3 linked regions of the Macaca mulatta genome follow. The protein of the gene in region 3 purifies or fractionates together with the protein of the main gene of each other region. This does not show direct contact. Links are inferred from orthologs where the notes say so. Each region holds a gene or a part of one and is shown on either strand. Other genes may lie near its edges.

The links.
Region 1: the proteins of RIPK4 (region 3) and FBXW11 purify together in Homo sapiens (affinity purification with mass spectrometry; 4 studies listed by BioGRID, with this or other methods). This does not show direct contact. The link is inferred for Macaca mulatta from reciprocal best matches to the Homo sapiens genes RIPK4 and FBXW11.
Region 2: the proteins of RIPK4 (region 3) and BTRC purify together in Homo sapiens (affinity purification with mass spectrometry; 4 studies listed by BioGRID, with this or other methods). This does not show direct contact. The link is inferred for Macaca mulatta from reciprocal best matches to the Homo sapiens genes RIPK4 and BTRC.

Annotation. Positions count from the first base shown.
Region 1 is NC_133411.1:180,713,221-180,720,693, forward strand, and holds part of FBXW11 (F-box/WD repeat-containing protein 11), read right to left. Parts: intron 6,761-7,473; coding exon 6,650-6,760; intron 5,441-6,649; coding exon 5,362-5,440; intron 4,114-5,361; coding exon 3,952-4,113; 3' UTR 3,927-3,951; intron 1-3,926.
Region 2 is NC_133414.1:113,423,753-113,431,828, forward strand, and holds the start of BTRC (F-box/WD repeat-containing protein 1A), read left to right. Parts: upstream 1-3,570; 5' UTR 3,571-3,657; coding exon 3,658-4,092; intron 4,093-8,076. UniProt on the Homo sapiens protein: Substrate recognition component of a SCF (SKP1-CUL1-F-box protein) E3 ubiquitin-protein ligase complex which mediates the ubiquitination and subsequent proteasomal degradation of target proteins. Recognizes and binds to phosphorylated target proteins.
Region 3 is NC_133408.1:5,746,403-5,753,875, forward strand, and holds part of RIPK4 (receptor-interacting serine/threonine-protein kinase 4), read left to right. Parts: intron 1-704; coding exon 705-863; intron 864-1,611; coding exon 1,612-1,715; intron 1,716-3,328; coding exon 3,329-3,593; intron 3,594-5,486; coding exon 5,487-6,646; 3' UTR 6,647-7,473.

The sequences.
Region 1 (7,473 bases), on a different chromosome or scaffold from region 3:
ATTTTTTGACTATGGCTTTGAGTCAGAAACACATTTCAATCACAATTTCTACATTCATCATGTATGTAAATATGTACACATACGTAAAACAATATTCATGAGAATATTCATATTCACAATATCATTTTTATGTATAATGCAGGCTGACATTTTCTATTCTAAATAAAAGCAAAGTAAAAACTCACTCAGATTATGTCACAATCAATGATGCACTAAACCACTGGCCTAGAAAGTCTAAAGTCACCTTAGGTGGGGGAAAAAAAAAGGTGAGAGAGACTTTTTAAAGCTTGAATGCTTTTTTTAAAAGGTGATTTTCCCAAAAGGTTGTCAATTTTCATAAAGATCAAGAATCTTAAGTCTTCTCAATGAATTCAAGATTCAATTTCATTTGCTACTTTTTTCCCATTAAGGATATTTAAGGGAACCTGAATTATTTCAAAAACATTAATGCCCTGGGACCAGAAGTGAGCACTCTCAAATGCTGCTGAGGGGAGCATAAACTGACTGAATCTTTTGGAAAGCAAAATGACCTACATATGCACATGTACCCTAGAACTTAAAGTATAATTTAAAAAAAAAAAAGTCTTCAAACATGATACCTTTTAACCCAGACTCTCCACACATTTCCAGAATCCCATCCAAAGCTGACAAAGGGTTGGACAAAGATTAGGTTAAAAGAATAATCATAGCATTGTTTTTATAATCACTAAAAACTGGGGGTTGGGGAGGATAAATATGTAACGAGAGAGCATATCCAAACAATCTAATATAATTTGGCAATTGGAATAATTTGGACAAATACTGACATTACTAACACAAGCATTTCACAATAAAGAAGAAAAACATGTTTAAAAATGTCCAGTTAGTTATCAAGCATCACTTTAAAAAGCCTGAAAGGATCTATAAAAAGGAGTTAGTGGTAAACCATGAGCAGGAGTTTACTTTCTTCTTTTGGCGTATCTACTTTTTCAAATTTCCTAATAATGATCTTATATTGTCTTGTAATAAGAAAAAAAAATAAATTTTGAGCTACTGAATATATAATACAACATACAGCTCTTACATGTTACTTTTTTAACAATGACTCTGTAAATAAATCTATTACTGCATTTGCTGACATGGAGAGACTCTCACCTGATATTTTACGGGTGAATATTTTACTGCAAGGTTAAATCACCATTAGGGTAGTGTTTCTTATTACACATAACACATGGTTATAATTTTTTTCATGTTATAATAAATGAAAAGAATTTGGGGCTGGGCGCGGTGGCTCACTCCTGTATTCCCAGCATTTCAGGAGTTCGAGGCAGGCAGATCACTTGAGGCGAGGAGTTCGAGACCAGCCTGGCCAACATGGTGAAACCTCGTCTCCAATAAAAATAAAAAAATTAGCTGAGTGTGATGACACATGCCTGTAGCCCCAGCTACTCACAAGGCTGAAGCAAGAGGATCACCTGAGCCTGGGAGGCAGAGGTTGCAGTGAGCCAAAATTGCACCATTGCACTCCAGCCTGGGTGACAGAGCAAGACATTGTCTCAAAAGGAAAAAAAAAAAAAGAATTTAGAAAAGAGCAGTAAAATCTATAAAGTTGACTGCCAAGGTTGTTAAAAGTAATAAAATTGGAGAGACAAGCACATTTGGGGTCTCACTGCTTGTGCTGGGATACAGGGAACCACCAGCTTAAGCAGATAAGATTTTTCCATTGACTTATAATTGATCACAACTAGGCAGCTATTCTGAGGTTTCCATAAAAGGTGGGTAGGAGGAGGGCCTGGAGGAAGTAACACAAGTTTCCTTTCTACCACAGCCAGTAAGAAACAGCATTGGTGATCACTGCTTCATCTCTCAACCAAAGGAATCTTGCTCAGGGCACTTGCAGGTAACATATAGATGTTGTCAGTTCATCTACTGTAATACACCAGAAAAAGAAAACCGTGATACGGATGTCTTGAATTTTGCCATATGCCTCCTTAAGCCGTTTTTACTTGGGTCCATTCCTCCTTCCCTACATTTTCTTAGGCTTATTGGGAGGGGAGGTCGGGGGGAGGAGCAATCACTCAAGAGATCCTTGCCTCCTTCCTCTGGAATTCCTATTTTAAGGCTCCATTCAATAATTATAATAATTCTGCCATGTGGATTTTTCAACTGACTTATGAAGAATCTATCCAGAAAGAAAGCAGCAGGGCAGAAGATTATGATCAGGAACAGTCTGAACACACCCGAGACCCGTAACAGCAAATAGGTAAGTGGCTTACAGGTCACTCCTGCAAGGCAGACATAACCAACCACAACCAGTCCTTTGGGGTTCATGGGGTCCCAGAATCCTTCCAAAGGCAACACTCCCACCAGCCACTACTGACCAAACTCAGTGGGCATGAAGAAAACACAAATTATTTGCCATTCCTGATGTAGACCCTTGGTTTACTGCTAATAGATGGAGCAGGGCAAGACCAGAAGTCAGCAAAAAAAAAAAAAAAAAAAAAAGGTCCTTTTTCTGAAAGGGCCATATGGTAAATATTTCAGACGTTGTAGGCCATAAGGTCTCTGTTGCAACTACTAAGCTCTGCCACTGAAGCACAAAAACAGCCACAGACAACACATAAAGGAATGAGCATGGCTGTGTATCAAAAATCTTTATTTATAAACAATGGAATTTAAATTTCATCTAATTATTGCATGTCATGAAAAAAATATTCTTCTTTTAATTTTTTTAAGCATTTAAAAATGTAAAAACTATTCTTAGCCTGTGGAGACAGGAAAAAAAAAAAAGGATAAGCAGAGACTAATTAAAAACAAAACAAAACAAAACAAACAAAAAACAGGTAGTGAGTCGATTTTGGTCCCTGGCTATATATATAGTTTCTTGACCTCTAGGTAAGACCAACTTCCTGGTGGAGTTCTATTTATTGGATCTTGGAATCCTGATGAAAGAGTATCTGAAAAGATGGTAACTTAGTGAATAGTACCAAGAGTTCTCAATCTCTCCATCAAAAAAAATTCCTAATTCTGCACATGGACTTCCTTATACTTTTGAAATTCAATGAACAGGAAAATATGTAATGATAAAAAGCCACTAAGAATTAAGTAATGATTTTAAATAAACACAAATTTCATTAAAATCACAACAGTCTTTATAGACATATATCCATAGTAGTATGATTATGTGTAAACATTTATTCAATCTACAAAGTTTAATGTGTGTAGAATTCACTGGCCCTCAGCAGAACACACAGAGTTGTCAATACTGTTCCTAAGTCATCAGTTCCTAGGACACAGCCAAGTAAGACTTCTCATCTTCCAGATTGAACACTCTTAGTAATAATCAAAGCATTCTGTCATCAATGGTTACAATGACTTTCAATGTTCCTGTAGCCAGAGTGAAGGACTCTGCTTCTCAGCATATCTGCTGTGTTTCGTGGAAGCAGAATAGGTTTTAGGGGTCTCTCAACAGATGCTCTTCTCTGATCCACCCTTGAGGGAATGACGGTAGTGGGTGGATTGTGGTAGTGGGGAAGAGGCGGATTTTGAATGTTTTGTCAGATGATGATTTTTTTTTTTTAATAAAAGAACTGAAGGACAGGAAAGAAAGAGAAAAAGAAGTTTCTTGTACCCCAAAATAAAATTCAAGGGATTTTACTGGTGTTAAATTGATTATGACCTTAAAAATCATTTAGGAACACAGTTTTTAAAAACAGGAACCATGTTTATCATCTGCCAATAATGAAAACCCACACAATAGGCAGGATTCCAACTGAAACCTTGTATGGATGTGACTATAGAGATCTAGCCTGATACTTGAACTCTGCAAAAGCTGACACATCTAAGAGACCTTAGTTCCCATCACCAAGGAACCCAAATCACAAAATTCCCCCAAAGGGAAGGTGAATTCAATCAGCAAAATTGGAAGGGGAAGGGACAGTACTCACCTGAAACGGGTGAAAGTGCAGACTGTTATCTAGAGATGTAAGTGTATGTTCTGGAGGGAGAACGGGTCTCATTCTGGGCACTGGGAGGCACATTTAAGAAATCCCAAATCAAAATAGTGTCATCATGGGAGCTGCTGATGATCTGAAACTCATCAAACTGTAGCCGAAACACACGTCCAGAATGTTCCTATGAAATATTAAAAACTTCATGAATAAAATGACATCTTTACAGTCCCTGATATCTCACAATGAGAAATTTGGCAGATGAAAATGAAGCCACTTAAACAGACTTCTTACACGACTGTACAGAGCTCACTGAACTGTGTCCTTCATCCCAAGAACAAATGCTTTTCTTTCTTTTCCTGCTAGGCCTTTTTTGTTTTTTTTGAGTCAGAGTCTCGCTCAGTCACCCAGGCTGGAGTGCAGTGGCGTGATCTCCGCTCACTGCAAGCTCCGCCTCCGGGGTTCACGTCATTCTCCTGCCTTGGCCTCCCGAGTAGTTGGGACTACAGGCGCCCGCCACCACACCTGGCTAATTTTTTGTATTTCTAGTAGAGATGGGGTTTCACTGTGTTAGCCAGGATGGTCTTGATCTCCTGACCTTGAGATCCACCCGCCTCGGCCTCCCAAAGTGCTGGGATTACAGGCATGAGTCACTGCGCCCGGCACCCCCTGCTAGGCCTTTTCTTTCATTCAACTCTGTATCTTAGACTCTACCAATATTTCAAAGATCATCTCACAAAGGGCCTTAGAAAAGTAAACAACAATACATAATACCCATTCTTGATGCACTCTAAAAATCCACTGGAAAAACCTAGAATCAGAAGGACAGTTTGTTTAACATGACCAGGATCTACCTCAAACTGCTGCCAGCATCAAAATTCATGGTGAAACATTATAAGGGTTCCCATTAAAATCAAGAAGAAAGAGAGTTCTGCATCTTCTACTAAATGCAAGAAGTGAAGAAATAGAAATAAAAGATAAAGCTACTAAAAATTTTTTTAAATCTACCGATATTCCCAAATGACTCTCTCTTCAAAAATACAACAGTACTTACATATAGCATAAAAATTTATATATAGTATAAAAATGTGCTGTTATTAAAACATAACATAACCACAAGTAGCCATATTAAGAAATCTTCAAACCTGCAAGAAGGAAATATTGCTTGCCCTATGAGGAAACCAGTCCACCTACAAATCAGGATGCCTGCCTTCATATCTGAAGTTGCATTATGTCTCCCCTTAGAAAAGTGCTCACAGTAATGTAAGCATCAAATATTCTCTGATTTTGGCTAAACAAAATGAACAGTGAAATTCTCTGAAGGCATCTTGTGAGATACACAAGCGCTCCTGTGATACACCTAGACAGGGCTATCTGCAAATGGTCATCCTCCAGCACAGGGAACCAATTCCTGTCTTAAGAGGTCACGTACCACCAATGTGCGCAAACACAATGTGCTCGCTGGGGCTCGAGGGTCAAGAGCAGCTTGCAAGTCCCAAACTTTAATTTTCCTAGAAAGGGAAATGAGATGTGATTAGTGGAAAAATGAACAATTTATATGCTGTCAAACATTTCCTTGACAAAAAGTAGTGCATCTGAACTGCCTATTTATAAAAGCTAATGGGGAACATGCTTATGTTTTTACAAATCATCTGAACCAATTACACTTGACTTCAGAAAAATTAAGAACCAACACATTCTCAGAATTGCTGAAATTTTAAAGAAATATTATTTTAAGGGAGATAAGAAAACAACTTCAGGTTATCTAAATTCAGTTCCGGACCTGATAACCTGTGTCACCAAGTTCATTCATCAGGGGACTCTCTAGGGCTGAGGAGGTGCTGCTGACAGAAGCTAGGGCTCTGTGTGAAATTCCAAGGATACCTTTCTCCAAATTAAGCAAATGCTGGAAGTTAGTAATAGGAGTACAGACAGACCAACCAACCCATTTGGGAAGTATATATAAGGTCATCTGGAAAGATTTACAGTTGCCATTTGCCCATTTAAAATATAGTGAGGTGTTTTAAAGAGGGTTTGTTCAATTTACCAAAAGGGGAAAAGAAGAAACTTATTATTGAACACATGAACACACACACACACAGAGAAAAAGAACACACATACACACACACAGAGAGAAAAAGAACACACATACACACACACAGAGAGAAAAAGAACACACATACACACACACAGAGAGAAAAAGAACACACATACACACACACACAGAGAGAAAAAGAACACACATACACACACACAGAGAGAAAAAGAACACACATACACACACACAGAGAGAAAAAGAACACACATACACACACACACAGAGAGAAAAAGAACACACATACACACACACAGAGAGAAAAAGAACACACATACACACACACAGAGACAGAGAGACAGAGAGAGAGCGCCTGGCTTAATTTAGGGGTAAAGCAAAGAAGTGAGTACACTCACAACCTCAGCTATTGCTGGAGTTTACAACAATGACTCAAAGCATAAGTTTAGGAACCACAGTGACTCTGCCTCTGTCATTTGGGGCAAGATTTAGTTCTTTCTGGGCCTGAGTGTCCTCACCTAAACAACTGGTATAATAATACCTGCCATCCACCACTACACAGAAACCTACCATAGGACCTGGTACATACAGAGTTGCTTAATATACAACATTTCTTTTTCTTGTTGATATAGTTATAGCAGTACATCTGAAAATCTGAAAGACATACCCATCATAGGCCCCACTGACAATCCTCTTGTTATCAAACCGGATGCATCGGACCAATTCTTCATGTCCCTCTAGGACTCTTAAACAGGCACCACATTCAATATCCCAGAGCCTTGAATGAAAAACAGACCTCTGTGAAACAATTTCCCACACATGATTCACACTATCTGTAAGTTTTTTATATCTGTTCCATACAGATATAATTTTTCACTATCTTGGAACTCTTTATTTCTATCTCACTTCCAGTACACACCACACATATAAAGCTATATGTATACATTTATACCATCTGTGTGTTTCCAAGCACTAACCTAGGAGGAAGCCTTACTTTTTATTCTATTTCCTTTTATATGATTTGAAACTGTTTTTAATCATGTGTCTGTATTACTATTTAAATAAAATCAACAAACAAGAAACGTCAATTCTATTTAGTTCTTAGGCATTCTCTTGATGTCTGAGTTGATAAAAACCATGTAGACAAATGGTGTAGGAAAGACTTTTCTGGGGAGACAGGGATTGTAGGCAGTAAAGGAGAAAAAGCACAGATGAGACAAGGTGGGAAGGGAGATATCACATACAGCCATCGGGTAAAGCTTCCGCCCAAGGTAATTCTAGCACAGTGGAGTCCATGAGGACCACTGAGGTTAGAACTGGTGGACCAGCAGCTCTCTCTTGATGAGGCCTGTGGATACCCCTTCCTTGATACTATATGCTGAATACTGGAATTGATGTACAAGGTCAGAGTGGGAGACTGATTAGGTACACGCAGTGTTCTGGCGGAAATATAAACCCATTGACTACACCAAATCTTTTTCTCTGCATATA
Region 2 (8,076 bases), on a different chromosome or scaffold from region 3:
TTCTTCAGAATGCTGTCCTAGGCCTGTTGCTCTTTCCACTGTTTATGCTTTCCCTGAGTGATCCCATCCCTTCCCTTCCCTTCCCTTCCCTTCCCTTCCCTTCCCTTCCCTTCCCTTCCCTTCCCTTCCCTTCCCTTCCCTTCCCTTCCCTTCCCTTCCCTCCCCTCCCCTCCCCTCCCCTTCCCTTCTTTCTCTCTCTTTCTCTCTTTCTTTCTTTCTTTCTTTCTTTCTTTCTTTCTTTCTTTCTTTCTTTCTTTCTTTCTTTCTTTCTTTCTTTCTTCCTTCCTTCCTTCCTTCCTTCCTTCCTTCCTTCCTTCCTTCAGACAGAGTCTTGCTCTGTGGCCCAGGCTAGAGTGTAGTGGTGTGATCTCGGCTCAATGCAACCTCCACCTCCCAGGTTCAAGCGATTCTCCTGCATCAGCCTCCTGAATAAGCACCATTGCGCCCGGCTAATTTTTGTGTTTTTCGTAGAGATGGGGTTTCACCATGTTGGCTAGGCTGGTCTCGAACTCCTGACCTCAGGTGATCCACCCACCTTGGCCTCCCAAAGTGCTGGGATTACCAGCGTGAGTCACCACACCCGGCTCCCTACGTGATTTCATTCTTTTCAGGGGAAGAAGCGGGAGTGGGGTTTCATTTACCACCCATATGCTGGAATCCCTATTTGTAGCCCAGGTCTTTCTCTCCAACTTCAGTTTCGAATATTCAATGGCCTCCCCAACATCTGAATCCACTTAGAAATCTCACAGGCACCTTGAAGCAATAAGTCCAAAAAGAGAACTGATTATCCTCCTACCACTTGCTCCTTCTACTCTGCTTTCTGTCTTAAAAAAAAAAAAAAGGAATCCTTCATTCATTACCTGAGCCAGATACATAGAAGTCATCTTGGACACATCCTTTTGACATCATCCATGACACATCTAATCACTATACTCAACTGATTCTATCTCCTTAGTATCTCTGGAATCCATCTACTTCTTTCTGTTCTCACCACCACATTCAAGCTGCCATCATCTCTCCCAGGAAGATTTCAGCAACGCCATAATCCTTTCCCCAAGCTTCCAGCTGTGCTCCATTTTAATCTCTCCTCCACCCTGGACTCTGATTTTCTGAAAACGCAAATCTGACCATGTTTAAAATTGTTCAGTTAGTTTCTCACAGCTCTCAGGATACAGTCCAAATGCCTTAACTTGGCCTATAAGCTGGAGTGAAAGTCAAGGTATTTTATAGCTGGTAAGATACAGGCCTTGATGCCAGTTAGAAAGCATGTCAGCTGATTCATCTGACCAGTTTATGCCACCTAAATAATGGCTTACCTATAGAGCCCCATACTGCAGTCTCATCTAGGGTCACTCTTCCTCTAAAGTCCCACTGACCTTGTTTTGGTTCTCAGAATCAATCACCAAAATGCAGTTACCTTTGCCTGGAATACTCTTTTCCTGTGGCTGCACCATCATCCCACCTCATCTTTTAGTTTGTTTATTTATTTATGTATTTATTTATTTATTTTTTGTAACTCCATCATGTTACTGCCTTAGTCCTCTGAAAACTTCCAGCTATTTTTCTTTCTTTTTTTTTTTTTTGAGACAGAGTCTCGCTCTGTTGCCCAGGCTGGAGTGCAGTGGCGCAGTCTCGGCTCACTGCAAGCTCCGCCTCCCGGGTTCACGCCATTCTCCTGCCTCAGCCTCCTGAGTAGCTGGGACTACAGGCGCCCGCCACCGCGCCCGGCTAATTTTTTGTATTTTTAGTAGAAACGGGGTTTCACCGTGGTCTCGATCTCCTGACCTTGTGATCCGCCCGCCTCGGCCTCCCAAAGTGCTGGGATTACAGGCGTGAGCCACCGCGCCCGGCAGCTAGTTTTCATACGAATGCGTTTGAAGTCTTCTCCATTTTGTACTTGTGTAGAATTTTTTTTTTAATTCAAGAGCAAAACTTTTTATTAACTGAAAGCCTATTATGTATTAAGTATCATGCTGAGTTTTGTGGACATAGGGGCTAGGACAAAGTATCAACAGAGTGGAAGAGTAAGCTCCACGAAGAAATAACTGGGTCTGTCTTGTTCATCAATGAATCCCCTTTTCTTTTTCTTTTTGTCTAATTAATTTTATTTTTATTTCAATAGTTTTTGGGGTACAAGTGGTTTTGGGTTACACAGATTAATTGTATAGGGGTGAAGTCTGAGATTTTGGCCACCCAAGTAGTGATGAATCCCTACTTCTTGAGATGATGTCTGCACACGGTTATATGCTTACTATTTGTTGGATGACTGAATGAATAAGATGGTTTAAAATGGAGATTTTTCCTATAAGTGAAAAAGTATTTTCCTAGTTCAATTATTTTATAAATTCAGATATTTTGTACAAGGCTGTCACAATCTAACGCACTTTTTTTTTTTTTTTTAGACAGAGTCTGGCTCTGTTGCCCAGGCTGGAGTGCAGTAGCGTGATCTCGGCTCACTGCAACCTCCGCCTCCCGGGTTCAAGCAATTCTCATACCTCAGCCTGCCGAGTAGCTTGGATTACAGGCGTGTGCCACCAGGCCCGGCTAATTTTTGTAGTTTTAGTAGAGAAGGGGGTTTCTCCATGTTGGCCAGGCTCGTCTCGAATTCCTGACCTCAGGTGATCTACCCGCCTCGGCCTCCCAAAGTGCTGGGATTACAAGTATCAGTCACCCTGCCTGGCCCTAAGTCACTTTTAACCGAACCCTAGAGTTTTCTCCTCCTAAGGTAGACCCAATTTACAAAATAAACCCATATTGTACCTTTTCAGGCCAAAGAAAATATTTATATGCTTTATTTGCTGGAGGCCATTATATTCCACCATTGAAGGACTTTTGTAAGTACCTGTTTGACCCTTAGTGCAGGGCTTATATCCCACAGTTAGCAATAGCAAGCTATGCGCTTTTTGAGCTCTCAACACCAAGAATTTCTTGAGCCGGGTTCTATTCGGCCCTGACTTGCTGTAGGGGAGAAAAGATTCCTTGGGAGAAGTGTGGGTGGCGATAGCTTAGGAGGACCTTGAAATTCTGCATTGGTCTGTGAGCTGCTGCCTGGTGCCCATTGGCCCAGCTGCTCTGGGTAGCAAACCTGCAGACGCCAGATATATGAAATTTGGGGATGTTCAGCTCCCTAAAACCACAGTTAGGCAGGCCCTAGGACCCCTGATTCTTGCCATAGTTTTTCTTAGTATTTGGGCTACAGGTAAGGCATTGGTCGCCATCTTGATATCAAACGTCAGGCAAGCCGCTACTGGCGTCGCTCGGTAACCACGGAGACACCCGTGCCCCTCCCGTTTTTTAATCCTTAGAGGCTGTAAACTACAATTCCCATCAGCCAATTTCCTATGCTTAATGACAAGTTATCTAAATCTGGCTTGTGGGCAACCGCAACGCTGCCGCAGTGAACTGTGGGAGTTGCGGTTCACCGCGTAGCGTCAGTTTTTTTCTGCGGGAAGCTCCAGAACTACAAATCCCGTGAGCCAGTGGGCTTTCGCCTGCGTACTGAGAAAGCCGATTCTCCTTGGCCCCTAAGCCTGTGCCTGAGAGGTAAGAGAGGGCGGGGGGAAGGAAGAGGAGGCGGGATCCGGGCGCTGCGTTGGCTGCGGCCTGGCACCAAAGGGGCGGCCCCGGCGGAGAGCGGACCCAGTGGCCTTCGCGATTATGGACCCGGCCGAGGCGGTGCTGCAAGAGAAAGCACTCAAGTTTATGGTGAGGAGACGGTGGAGGCCGGGGAACGGCGGAGGCGCTGGCGTTGGCGGCGTCGTTGAGCTCGGGCCTGTGCCGCCCGCCCACTGCGGGACCAGGCAGCGGGACCCTGGGCCGAGGCTGGCGGCGGGGCAGCTGGAGGCATGGGATGGGAGCTCCAGAAAGGAGGCTAGGGGTTGCGGAGCGGACCCAGGGTGGGGGCAGCAGCTCCGCCATCTTGTGGATGAGAGGCCAAGTGACAGCGGGAGCTTAATCGAGGAGGGGGCTCCAAGCGGCGCGCGGGGCCCTGGAGGGAAAGGGGCGTGGGGACTGTTACTGAAGAGCGGAGGAAGCTCTGTGGAGAAACGCCGTGAGGCCGCTGGCGGGGCCTTCCCAGTGTCAGGGTTACCGGTAAGGCCCGGGAGAGGAGGTGCATTCAGGACTGGGGAAGGGGAGCGCGGGATAAAGTGAAGACAGATATGGTAGGTAGAGGGGAACGGGTAGGGCTGGATGCAGATGGATTTAAGGGTGGAGGAGGGAACACTAGGGCTGGTGAGAGGCTTATAGTTTTGTAGAATGAGGGAGGGAGGATAGCCTTTGCCTTGAGGGTGGAATCCCAGCTTGGCCAAACTACTGTTGACAAACTCTGGAAGGGAAGAGGCCTCAAGGAAGATAAAGACTGGGAATGAGTACCTAGGGCTATAATGACAGTCCCTGGGAGGGGGAAAGGGTGTTGACTGTAAACTAGAATTACAAATGTCAGGGAGAGAGGTACAGAACGCTACTTTGAAAGGAGAAGCTAAATACTATAGTAAGGACAAGGTGATGAAAAGTAAGAGGCAGATTGGTCAGGGAAACATGGGTACAGGAGATTGGGTCAAAATGAGTATCTAATAGGGTAAGCAAAACAAATTTTTTTTTTTTTTTTTTTTTTTTTTTTTGAGACGGAGTCTCGCTGTGTCTCCCAGGCTGGAGTGCAGTGGCGTGATCTCGGCTCACTGCAAGCTCCGCCTCCCGGGTTCACGCCATTCTCCCGCCTCAGCCTCCCAAGTAGCTGAGACTACAGGCGCCCGCCACCACGCCCGGCTAGTTTTTTGTATTTTTAGTAGAGACGGGGTTTCACCATGTTAGCCAGGATAGTCTCGATCTCCTGACCTCGTGATCCACCCGCCTCGGCCTCCCAAACTGCTGGGATTACAGGCTTGAGCCACCGCGCCCGGCCAGCAAAACAAAATTTAAAGGTAAATTGTGGGACCGTAAAATGTGGAGGCCAGGTACTTTGTATCATTTTCTGGGAAAGGAAAGGCCGCGGAGATGAGAGTTGCAAAGACCCGTAAGAAGTGATGAGATCAGTTGAGAAATTTAGGAGATAAAAAGGTTGGAGGTAGGTAGAGGGAAGTAAGTCAGGAATAAGTCAGTATTTGTGGTTACCTGTCACTTTTAGGTTGAAGCACAGTGTGAGCAAAGATTGGATTTTGTGGGTGTGTTTAAATCCCTTGGAACATATTTCTTTAACTTTGTATCACGCTTTTCTTTTTGCTATGCTTATCTTTGGCAAACTTGTCTAGTCTGATATTTGATGCTTTTAATCTGATGCTTTTTGTATTTCCTAGGTGTGAAACCAGACTTTGTGGTTACGACTAAAGAATGATGGAATGCATAGACTTTAAGCTTAACAGGTGGCCTTAGGGACATTGATATTATTTGCAGTCAAGTCTTGCCTTTTCAGAAGTTATTGTGACTTGTCACTCCAAATCTTACTCCTTTGCTTAAAAAAATAGTTATTTTGTATCTTTGCCTAAAATACCATAACAAATCCAGATAAACGTGGATACTAACGAAATTGAATTTTAGGCTTTAAACTGCCCCATTTATAAGAATAGTTTTTTGGAAACTAATCAAATTCACTAAAACTTTATTTTGCATTAGTGTTTTCAAAAACACCTAAAGTTCAAGGGTATCGTTAAAAAAATTTCACTGAGCCTGAAGAAGGTTCTTGGATTTCTGCCCAACATTAAAATTCTAAATATGAAGAAGAGACCTTGAAATTTTACTGGACTTTAGAAGTAAGTGAAAGTTATTAGACTTAAGTCAGAAAACTGTTACTGCTTATTTTTGTTTTCCTAGAGGGTTGAATCCTTTTTTTTTTTTTTTTCTTTTGAGACGGAGTCTCTTGCCCAGGCTGGAGTGCAGTGGTGCAGCCTCCGCCTCCTGGGTTCAAGCGAGTCTCCTGCCTCAGCCTCCCGAGTAGCTAGAACTACAGGTGCAGGCCACCACGCCCGTCTAATTTTTAGTAGAGATGGGGTTTCACCATGTTGGCCAGGATGGTCTCATTTCCTGACCTCGTGATCCACCCACCTTGGCCTCCCAAAGTGCTGGGATTTCAGATGTGAGCCGCAGCGCCCAGCAGAGGGTTGACTCAATGCTGATCCTGACGCTTGTGTCAGATTTATGGAATAATGTGATTTACAGATCATAAAGAGACATGAGGTCATCCTTTTTACTCTCGGTTAGACTTCAGCCTAGTAACATTTTCAGCTACTTAATCTGTGCTTTGTACCAGTGAGTTATGTTTTGATAATGGCCTCCTGGTTGAGTTAAAGTGGACTTGGAGATGACCATGTAGTAGTTGCAGCTTTTAGGGCACCACACATTACTAAATCTTGAATTAGTTTCCATAGGGAGGAGCCAGTTTTTTCTTTTAATTTTAGTTACTTTCATTATTGACCTTGCCTGCTGTTTTGGCTGCTGTTTGAGAAAAGGTCAACTAGAATAGGGTCACTAGAATGACACCTTAATAAAAGAAACAGAATGGAGAGTTTGAAATTGGGTATTCTCTTTCACTGCAGTAAGTCTTATGAATCTGAGTAAGTCACAACTTCCTTTTGATGCCATTTACCCTGCTATAACGTGTTGATGTATTCAGAGTCAATTTTAAGAAAGAAATATATTGGCGGGGCACGGTGGCTCATGCTTGTAATTCCTGCACTTTGGGAGGCTGAGGTGGGTGGAACACGAGGTCAGGAGATCGAGACCATCCTGGGCAAGATGGTGAAACCCCATCTCTACTAAAAATACAAAAATTAGGCGTGGTAGTGCGCACCTGTAGTCCCAGCTACTTGGGAGGCTGAGGCAGGAGAATCACTTGAACCCAGGAGGCAGAGGTTGCAGTGAGCTGAGATCGTGCCATTGCACTCCAGCTTGGGCAACAGAGTGAGACTCTGTCTCAAAAAAAAAAAAGAAGATATTTGAGCCAGCATCAAATAATTAGTGCACAGTACACGTGGAAGAACTATCCTTTTAATCAAACCGACATTTTTGTTACTATTTGGCTTTGTTCTGGTCTTAACCTTTCCCTCAATTATGAATCACTAATGACAACTTTTATACAGATACAGATGTCATGATTTAAACAAATGTAAAATTAGTTTAAAATGACAAAATGAAATGGATACTCTCACAGATTTGCTCATTGCTATACTAATGTGCCTTGATAAATAATTTTACAATAAAATCCGATTAATAAGACTGCTGATTCAGAGATGACCATAATTCACCCATGATCGAGACTTAAAGCTCATCTTAAATAGTTTAAGCAGAATGTTTAACTTTTAAAAACAAGTAAATGGTGTTGAAAGCAACCGTTTACATTAACTTATGTGCTAATGTCTCTCATTCAGCTTTAGCAGGTCCTCAAGGACCTTTCTTAATACTTTTTTGGTTAATAAAAGTATAAACGGAAACTTGAAGAGAACCTAAGAAGAGAAATGAAAATGATTAAGGGAATATAGGCCCCAAAACACACACACACCTGCACGCGCATTTAAGATAGGGGGTGAAAAGACATGCTGAGGAGGAATTTGAACTTTATTTTTGTTTTCACCTTTGAGACAGGGTTTTGCTATGTTGCCCAGCCTAGAGTGCAGTCACAGCTTGCTGCAGCCTCAAACTCCCAGGCTCACGTGATCCTCCTGCCTTCGCCTCTCAAGTGGCTACAGGCACACGCCACTTTACTGTTTTTTTTTTTTTTCTTTTTTCTTTTTGTAGAGAATGAGGGTTTCCCTTTGTTGACAGGGGTGGTTTTGAACTCCTGGGCTCAAGGGATCCTCCTGCCTTGGCCTCCCAGTTTGGGATTACAGGCGTGAGCCACCTTGCTGAGCCATGTTTATTTTTAAAAACAGGATAAATATATTCTTGTCCAGCCAATCCCAGAATCAAGTAGAGTAGCTTGAAATGGATGAAATAATTTTAGAATGTATATAAGTTTTATTTGTAGAGGTGATAGATAAGTGAAACAGTATAAAGGGTAAATGTTTGCTGTTTAATAAACCACCTCAAAACTTAGGTTAAAAAAACCAATTTATTTTTCCCCTCAAGTCTGATGGTTTTTCTGCT
Region 3 (7,473 bases):
CAGGCTATGCAGAAAAAAGAACTTGGCCCACTGGAGGTCACCCTGAACCCTTCCCAGTCAGGGTGGAAGTTGTGGCCATAATAATAATAATAGTATGCCAGAGCCCATGCATACGAGTGAAGGCAGTCAGAAAGGACAGGTGCGGCCCCACATGGTGAATTGAAGGGAAAGAGCCTTCCCACACACCCCAGCCCTGGTGCAGCTGCAGGGGAGGCCAGCTGGGGACCTGAGCTTGGGATTGGAGTTGGAACTGAGGAAGACTTCTTCGCCATTGTAGAGAGAGTTGGGTCTCTGTGGATGCAGGACGCTGTGGCTCCTCCATGGTGCGTGAACCTCATTCCCTTTGCTGGCTTGGGCTGTTGATGGAATGAGCCTCATAAGATATTGTTCTTCTTTGAACCTCATCTTCCTTTGGGTGGGATGCCGAGAAAGATCTCTGTGACCAAACACACTGACTCCATCTGGTAGATCAGAACCCAAGGAAAGAGGTCGATTTCAAAACTAGTAAACTAGAGAGCACGGTGCCCCGTGAGGATGAGGGTTACAGGAATCTCTGGCTATGGAACGGGAGGGGAAGCCGTCTCCCTGGGATGGTGTGGGGATGGTCCCACCGTGGTCCCCGGCAAGTGTGTCATTTCCTCCCAAGAGTGAGACGCTGCCACCCAGCCCTGCAGAGCCCCTGACTCGCATCCTTCCCTTGGCAGATGAGAAGAACATCCTGCACATCATGGTGAAGGTGGTGAAGGGCCACCGCCCTGAGCTGCCGCCCGTGTGCAGAGCCCGGCCGCGCGCCTGCAGCCACCTGATACGCCTCATGCAGCGGTGCTGGCAGGGGGATCCGCGAGTTCGGCCCACCTTCCAAGGTGAGTTCCCCAGGGTCTCCCCAGCACGGTCTGTGGGTGTCACAGGAGATAGTGGTGACGGACAGGACAGGGTCAGGGACCAGGCCTGGGTGAGAAACGAGGCATGTAACAGGTGGGCCAAAATGAGCCCTGCACAGATAGGTTGGCCCCAGCACCTGCCTGTGGCCTCTGGTACTCAAGGCTCGGCCACAGCAGCTGGAACTGAGTCGCCTCCAACCATCCATCCCCTGCTCCCCGCCAGGGCTGGGCTTGCTGCCCAGAGGAGTCTGTATGGGAGTCTGAAGTTCAGGTGCAGCCATGCTCTTCCCGGGGACTCACCTGGCTGGTGGCTGGAGGTGTTGCCCTTGGGGAGTTGACTTCCTGGGACAGATGTGTCTCTGGCATAGGAAAGTGACCCTGATGAGATGGAAACTGCTGCATGTAAAGCTTACGGCAGGAAACGGGATGAATGGGGAGCTCCTCCGCCAGGTGCTGGCAGCTCTGCTCCCTGCAACTGGCAGGTGGGGCTTTCCCGGGGAAGGCTTCTGCTTTGAGTCTGGTGAGGCCTGCAAATGATTACCAACGGGGGGCCTGGGTTTGGCCAGCAAATCGCCCATGTAGGGCCCCTGGGCTTGCCTGGCGAGCTCAGCCTGGGCCGAGGCATGTGAGAAATCCCCCAGCTTGTGGAGGCCCCGCCCGTGTTTAAATGGAAGGCTTGTGTACGTAGAAGTTATCATCCGAGTGACATGTCCCCTTTCTTCCCCACAAGAAATTACTTCTGAAACCGAGGACCTGTGTGAAAAGCCTGATGATGAAGTGAAAGAAACCACTCACGACCTGGACGTGAAAAGCCCCCCAGAGCCCAGGAGCGAGGTAATGGGCCCTTCCCACAGGGGTCTTTTGTCTCCTCGGCTTCCAGGCAGGGTTTCCAAACCACTCCTCCTCTCTGCAGACTCCTCCGCGCCGGGACCACTCTCCCTCTCTTCTGAGCCCATCCCGCACCCAACTCCGTTAGAAGTGTAGGTCCCACGGGGGCTCAGGTCCACCTGCCCGATTGCATCCCCGCCCCACCTCCTGTCTGTGATTCTGCATGAGTAATGTAAGGGCTTCCCTGACACTAAATAGCCACTCATTGGATGTGCGTGGAACCACGGGGATCAGAAGGCCCAGCCCCAGACGGGGAGGGAGAGCTGGTGTCTGGGTGTTTTTGCACCTCTGGTTCGGGGATCCAGTCCCTTTATAGCTGCTCATAAATGGTCTGTACTCTGATGAGTGCCACCTAGGTGATTTCAGATGTGATAAGAAGTTCCAAGTGCCAGGGCTGGCTAAATACCCTTTCAGGTGATGAGACTGGAGCAGACCTGTGAGGCAGAGCTAAGTGAGCTTTATAACGTGTTATCTGGTGTTGGGCAATTGATCCCAGCCTGTCGGTGTGAGCTCAGGAGAGCCGGAAACATGTATGGCGTGCCCACTGTCTCAACATAAAGTGCATGCGTGCCAGTGAGTCTGGGAGCAAAGGTGCCTGGGGGTTGCTGGTGAAGAGGCAGACCTGGGCCCTGATAAGGGAAAGAAGGCAACCAACATGTGGGGGTGGCTTGGTGCACCCAGCAAGAGTGCGGGACATTGAGCCGTCCCACAGAGGGTGGGGATTTGGGGCAAATAGGTGTGCCTAAGGGAAGAAATGTGAAATCCTGTCAGATTCCACTTACCCACCAGAAACCTGCTGCCCCTGCAGTCCGTGAAGCGAGACCCTTTAAAAGGTGTCATTGGTGTGCGTCGGACTGGATTATCCCTCATCCTTGTAGCCGGGCCCTTCCCCCTTCCCTTGTCCCCACACAGCCCCCAGGCCAGCCCCACGTGGTTCCGCGGGGAGGTCGCAGTTGTAGCCACCTGTGGGGGTCCTGCCCAGTTCTTGTCTGTCCTCTTGTTTCCTGCCAATGCTGGCCTGTGCTGGGCAGCTGTGTCCTGCCACGCATGCTTCACCACACTCTGCAGCTTGACATTACCTGCCTTTTGTCTGGGTGACGCTGTGCGCGGTGCTACTGAGCAGATGGCATCCAGAGCTGCATGAGGCTGGATTTTGCACTTTTATGAAGTCGATCTTTCCTTAAAATGTTTCTGGGCTGGGTGGAGCCAGCGCAAGTCTTTGTAGCTCCAAGTCTTTGAGCTCCCTGGCGCTGTGCGGCTGCGTCGTCTGAGCTCCACCTGTGCGGCTGTGGAGTCCGAGCTCCCTGGTGCTGTGCGGACCGACGTGGTGTCTGAGCACCCGGGTGCTGTGCAGACTCGGCGTCTGAGCTCCCTAATGCTGTGCGGAGGCGGGGTCTGAGCTGGGGGACCAATAGGTTATCTGTGTTGCTTCCAGGTTCCGTCCTTTCTTCCCCCACCTCCCTCCCATGGCCCACCTTGCTCTTCCGTGTTTGTGTCATGGGCGGGCCATGCGGGGTATGGCAGGGTCTTCACCCACCCCTTCTTCTGCATCTTCGCAGGTGGTGCCTGTGTCTGCCAGGCTCAAGCGGGCCTCCGCCCCCACCTTCGATAACGACTACAGCCTCTCCGAGCTGCTCTCACAGCTGGACTCTGGAGTTTCCCAGGCTGTCGAGGGCCCGGAGGAGCTCAGCCGCAGCTCCTCTGAGTCCAAGCTGCCATCGTCCGGCAGTGGGAAGAGGCTCTCGGGGGTGTCCTCGGTGGACTCCGCCTTCTCTTCCAGAGGATCACTGTCGCTGTCCTTTGAGAGGGAGCCTTCGACCAGCGGTAAGTGGGGACGCCTCTTTGTGTCCCGGGAGATGCTGGGCTCGGCGGGAAAGTTGACTGGACTCAGTGAGCAGCTAAACGGAATCAAGGGGAAGTTTCTCGACCCAACAATAATTCTTCTTTGTGTTCTCTCTGTCTGAAGTAATTAATTTTGGGTGTTGGGCATTTGGCTCCATCCTGTGTCGCTTAGCATACGTGGGGAACAGGCCACATCACCAGTCCATGCAACAGTCTTGCCTGTGCCAGTGCCATGGGTAGAGGCTGACCTCTGGTCTACAGATTGGAAACCCCATCCAGTGCGGTGAGACCGGCGAGGAGCTGAGCCCCACTCCCTGGCGGGCCTCCTGTCTCCAGGATGGCAGTCCCACACCCTCTGCTCAGATCCTGCTGGGTACACACCCATGCCTTCGCATATGTGGGCTCCCCATTCACGGTAGTCCAGGCCTTGTAATGTGTTGGTTATCCTTGGAGGTTTTAACACCAGGCCACCTTTGCAAATCTCCTGTTAGGGAGGAGCACTTCTCACTTAGCGAATCTTATCTTTTTATGTTAATTTTGATGGCTTTTGTTTTTGGAAGGTGCTTTTTTTCCTATCCCTGCCCCAGGGTGCTGGGCCTAGTGGTCATTCTGGCTTCCTCTTTGCCAGCTGCAGTGGTAAGATGTGGTCCTGCCCTATTCCTGAAGGGGCTGCAGCTCTGATGGAAAATACAGGGATTTACACTCAGGGCTACAGCCACGGGGGCTGAGGGCCAAGGCTGTGATCTTGGGGGGAAGGATGTACCAATCCATCCTGGCTTTTCCTGGTGGATTGGTACATCCTCTTGGAGGCAAAGACTTTTCCTGGATCTTACAGACCTCCTGGGATTTTTAGATTAGAATACTGGGGGCAAAAGAGGGTGTCTTGGGTTAAGGAAATGCTACATAGACACAGTGGGGAAGACCTGGTGTGACGGCAGATAAGCAGTAGGTGATGGGGTTGAGGAAGAGAGTCAGGGCCAAGTCTAAGACTGGGCAGAAAGAAATACTACCATCTCCCATGGAGAAGTACGTTCTAGAAAATTCTCTTTGGGTCTAATACTCTGAAATGGCATATCGTCTTCATGCTCGAGAGAGGATTATTTTACTGGCTCTACTCGGAATACCAGTGTTCAAACACCAAGCCCGACTGGGAGGGTTCCGTTTTCTTAACACCTTAACACCGCCACCTTCCAAGTCCCCATGTGTTTCACATGAGGGTGGAGGAGAGTCTTATTTCAGGGACTCAGAATTCCAGGCACTACAGTAGGATTTTTGTGGTAAATGCAACTTTTCATCTTGAGTGCTGGACTAACGTCTTCCTGAAACAAGAGGCTCGGTCCCTTCAGGATTATCATAGCAAACTTCCCTCTTGACCTCCCCAGGTCAGGAGGTGCCACTTCGAGGTGGGGCAGGAGCTGCAGCAGCCCCTTCCAGCTCTGGGCACCAGCTCTGCAGGCTGCTAGGCCTGGGGTGTCCGTGGATGGCAAGTGCCAAGGCTTCCAGGCGAAGGGGTCTCCGGCCTGGTCTTTTAGTCTGTGCCCTTTTTCCTTCTTTCTTTAATGAAGGAATGTTTGCAGTCACTGCCATCTCTAGGCACCAAGGGGGTTCAGCACCCCGCAGGACAGCGAGAGTGGGTTTTATTCTGCAGACCAACTAACGAGCACCTGAAAGACATTCGCCGGCCTGCCCCGGGGCTCCCACTAGGACTGACCTTAATCAGGAGGCACAGATAATGCTCAAACATGGTCAGGTGTCCAGTGAACAGCCTGGAGGCCTTGGCACTCCTCCACCTGAGCGCCACAGCCAGGCTCCCAGAGACGCTGCGTCCCTGGATGTGCAGCCGCGCTCTGACGCTTGCCTCTCCTCTCCCTGCAGATCTGGGCACCACAGACGTCCAGAAGAAGAAGCTCATGGATGCCATCGTGTCTGGGGACACCAGCAAGCTGATGAAGATCCTGCAGCCACAGGACGTGGACCTGGCGCTGGACGGTGGCGCCAGCCTGCTGCACCTGGCGGTGGAGGCCGGGCAAGAGGAGTGTGTCAAGTGGCTGCTGCTCAACAATGCCAACCCCAACCTGACTAACCGGAGGGGCTCCACCCCGCTGCACATGGCCGTGGAGAGGAAGGTGCGGGGCGTCGTGGAGCTCCTGCTGGCACGGAAGATCAGTGTCAACGCCAAGGATGAGGACCAGTGGACGGCCCTCCACTTTGCAGCCCAGAACGGGGACGAGTCTAGCACGCGGCTGCTGCTGGAGAAGAATGCCTCGGTCAACGAGGTGGACTTTGAGGGCCGGACGCCCATGCACGTGGCCTGCCAGCATGGCCAGGAGAATATCGTGCGCATCCTGCTGCGCCGAGGCGTGGACGTGAGCCTGCAGGGCAAGGATGCCTGGCTGCCGCTGCACTATGCCGCCTGGCAGGGCCACCTCCCCATCGTCAAGCTGCTGGCCAAGCAGCCGGGGGTGAGTGTGAACGCCCAGACACTGGATGGGAGGACGCCCCTGCACCTGGCTGCACAGCGCGGGCACTACCGCGTGGCCCGCATCCTCATCGACCTGTGCTCCGACGTCAATGTCTGCAGCCTGCTGGCACAGACACCCCTGCACGTGGCCGCAGAGACGGGGCACACGAGCACTGCCAGGCTGCTTCTGCATCGGGGCGCCGGCAAGGAGGCCGTGACCTCCGACGGCTACACTGCTCTGCACCTGGCTGCCCGCAACGGACACCTGGCCACTGTCAAGCTGCTCATCGAGGAGAAGGCCGATGTGCTGGCCCGGGGACCCCTGAACCAGACGGCGCTGCACCTGGCCGCTGCCCACGGGCACTCGGAGGTGGTGGAGGAGTTGGTCAGCACCGACGTCATTGACCTGTTTGATGAGCAGGGGCTCAGCGCATTGCACCTGGCCGCCCAGGGCCGGCATGCGCAGACAGTGGAGACTCTGCTCAGGCATGGGGCCCACATCAACCTGCAGAGCCTCAAGTTCCAGGGCGGCCATGGCCCCACCGCCACCCTCCTGCAGCGAAGCAAGACCTAACTGGCTGCCTGTGGAGACCAGGGGTCCATGTGGGGCTCTTGGTCCTGTCCTGTCTTCCTCATGGGGATGGAACGATCCTGCGTGGGGCCCTGTTGTGGCTTGCCTAAACATTGACCAAGCGGAGGTGACATGGTGCCATCGGGAGGTGGCTGCTGCTGACCGGAGTGTCCCCTCCAGGCGAAGCTGGCTTAGGTGCATGTGCCCGCTCCATCACCGATCTAGGCACCTGCTGTCTGAAAGGACCGTGGGTCAGAGTCATTTCGTTGTGCTCCTAATGGGCTGCTGAGGCTGGTCTCTCAGTGATGAAGCCCCAGGCGAGGAAGCATCCACTCTCTCCTGAGGCGAGCCATCTTGGGCCGCTGGAGCTCACCAGTCTTGAGGGAAGAGGTGCAGGAGAAACTGTGTTTTTTATCTTCATACACAGCAGTGGGCAGAGAGGCCTGTCTTAAAGTTTCCATGGAATTGTTTTATAAAATATCTTAAGAGATGAATGCCTTATCAGCTGCTGCTTGAAACCTGTTAAAAATGTTCATAACATTGGATAGTCTAGTCTGTAAATGATGACTAAGTAGTGGGGTTGGCTTTGAAAACAAGTTTTATGCAACAAGGAGTAAATGGTAGCAGCCAGCATTGCGGGACGTGTGTGTGGCCAGCTCTTAACCATTCCAGTCTGTTACTTTGGTGAGTCCTTGTGGACAACCACACACACGTGCTCACATGGTACTAGCTGCTGTTCATTTCTCATTGTCTAAGGTGTTTTGGGAACTCTAGAGCCACAGGCATAAGAGTCATTAAAAAAATTCTCCGTTTGTAACCTCAGTCCTGGG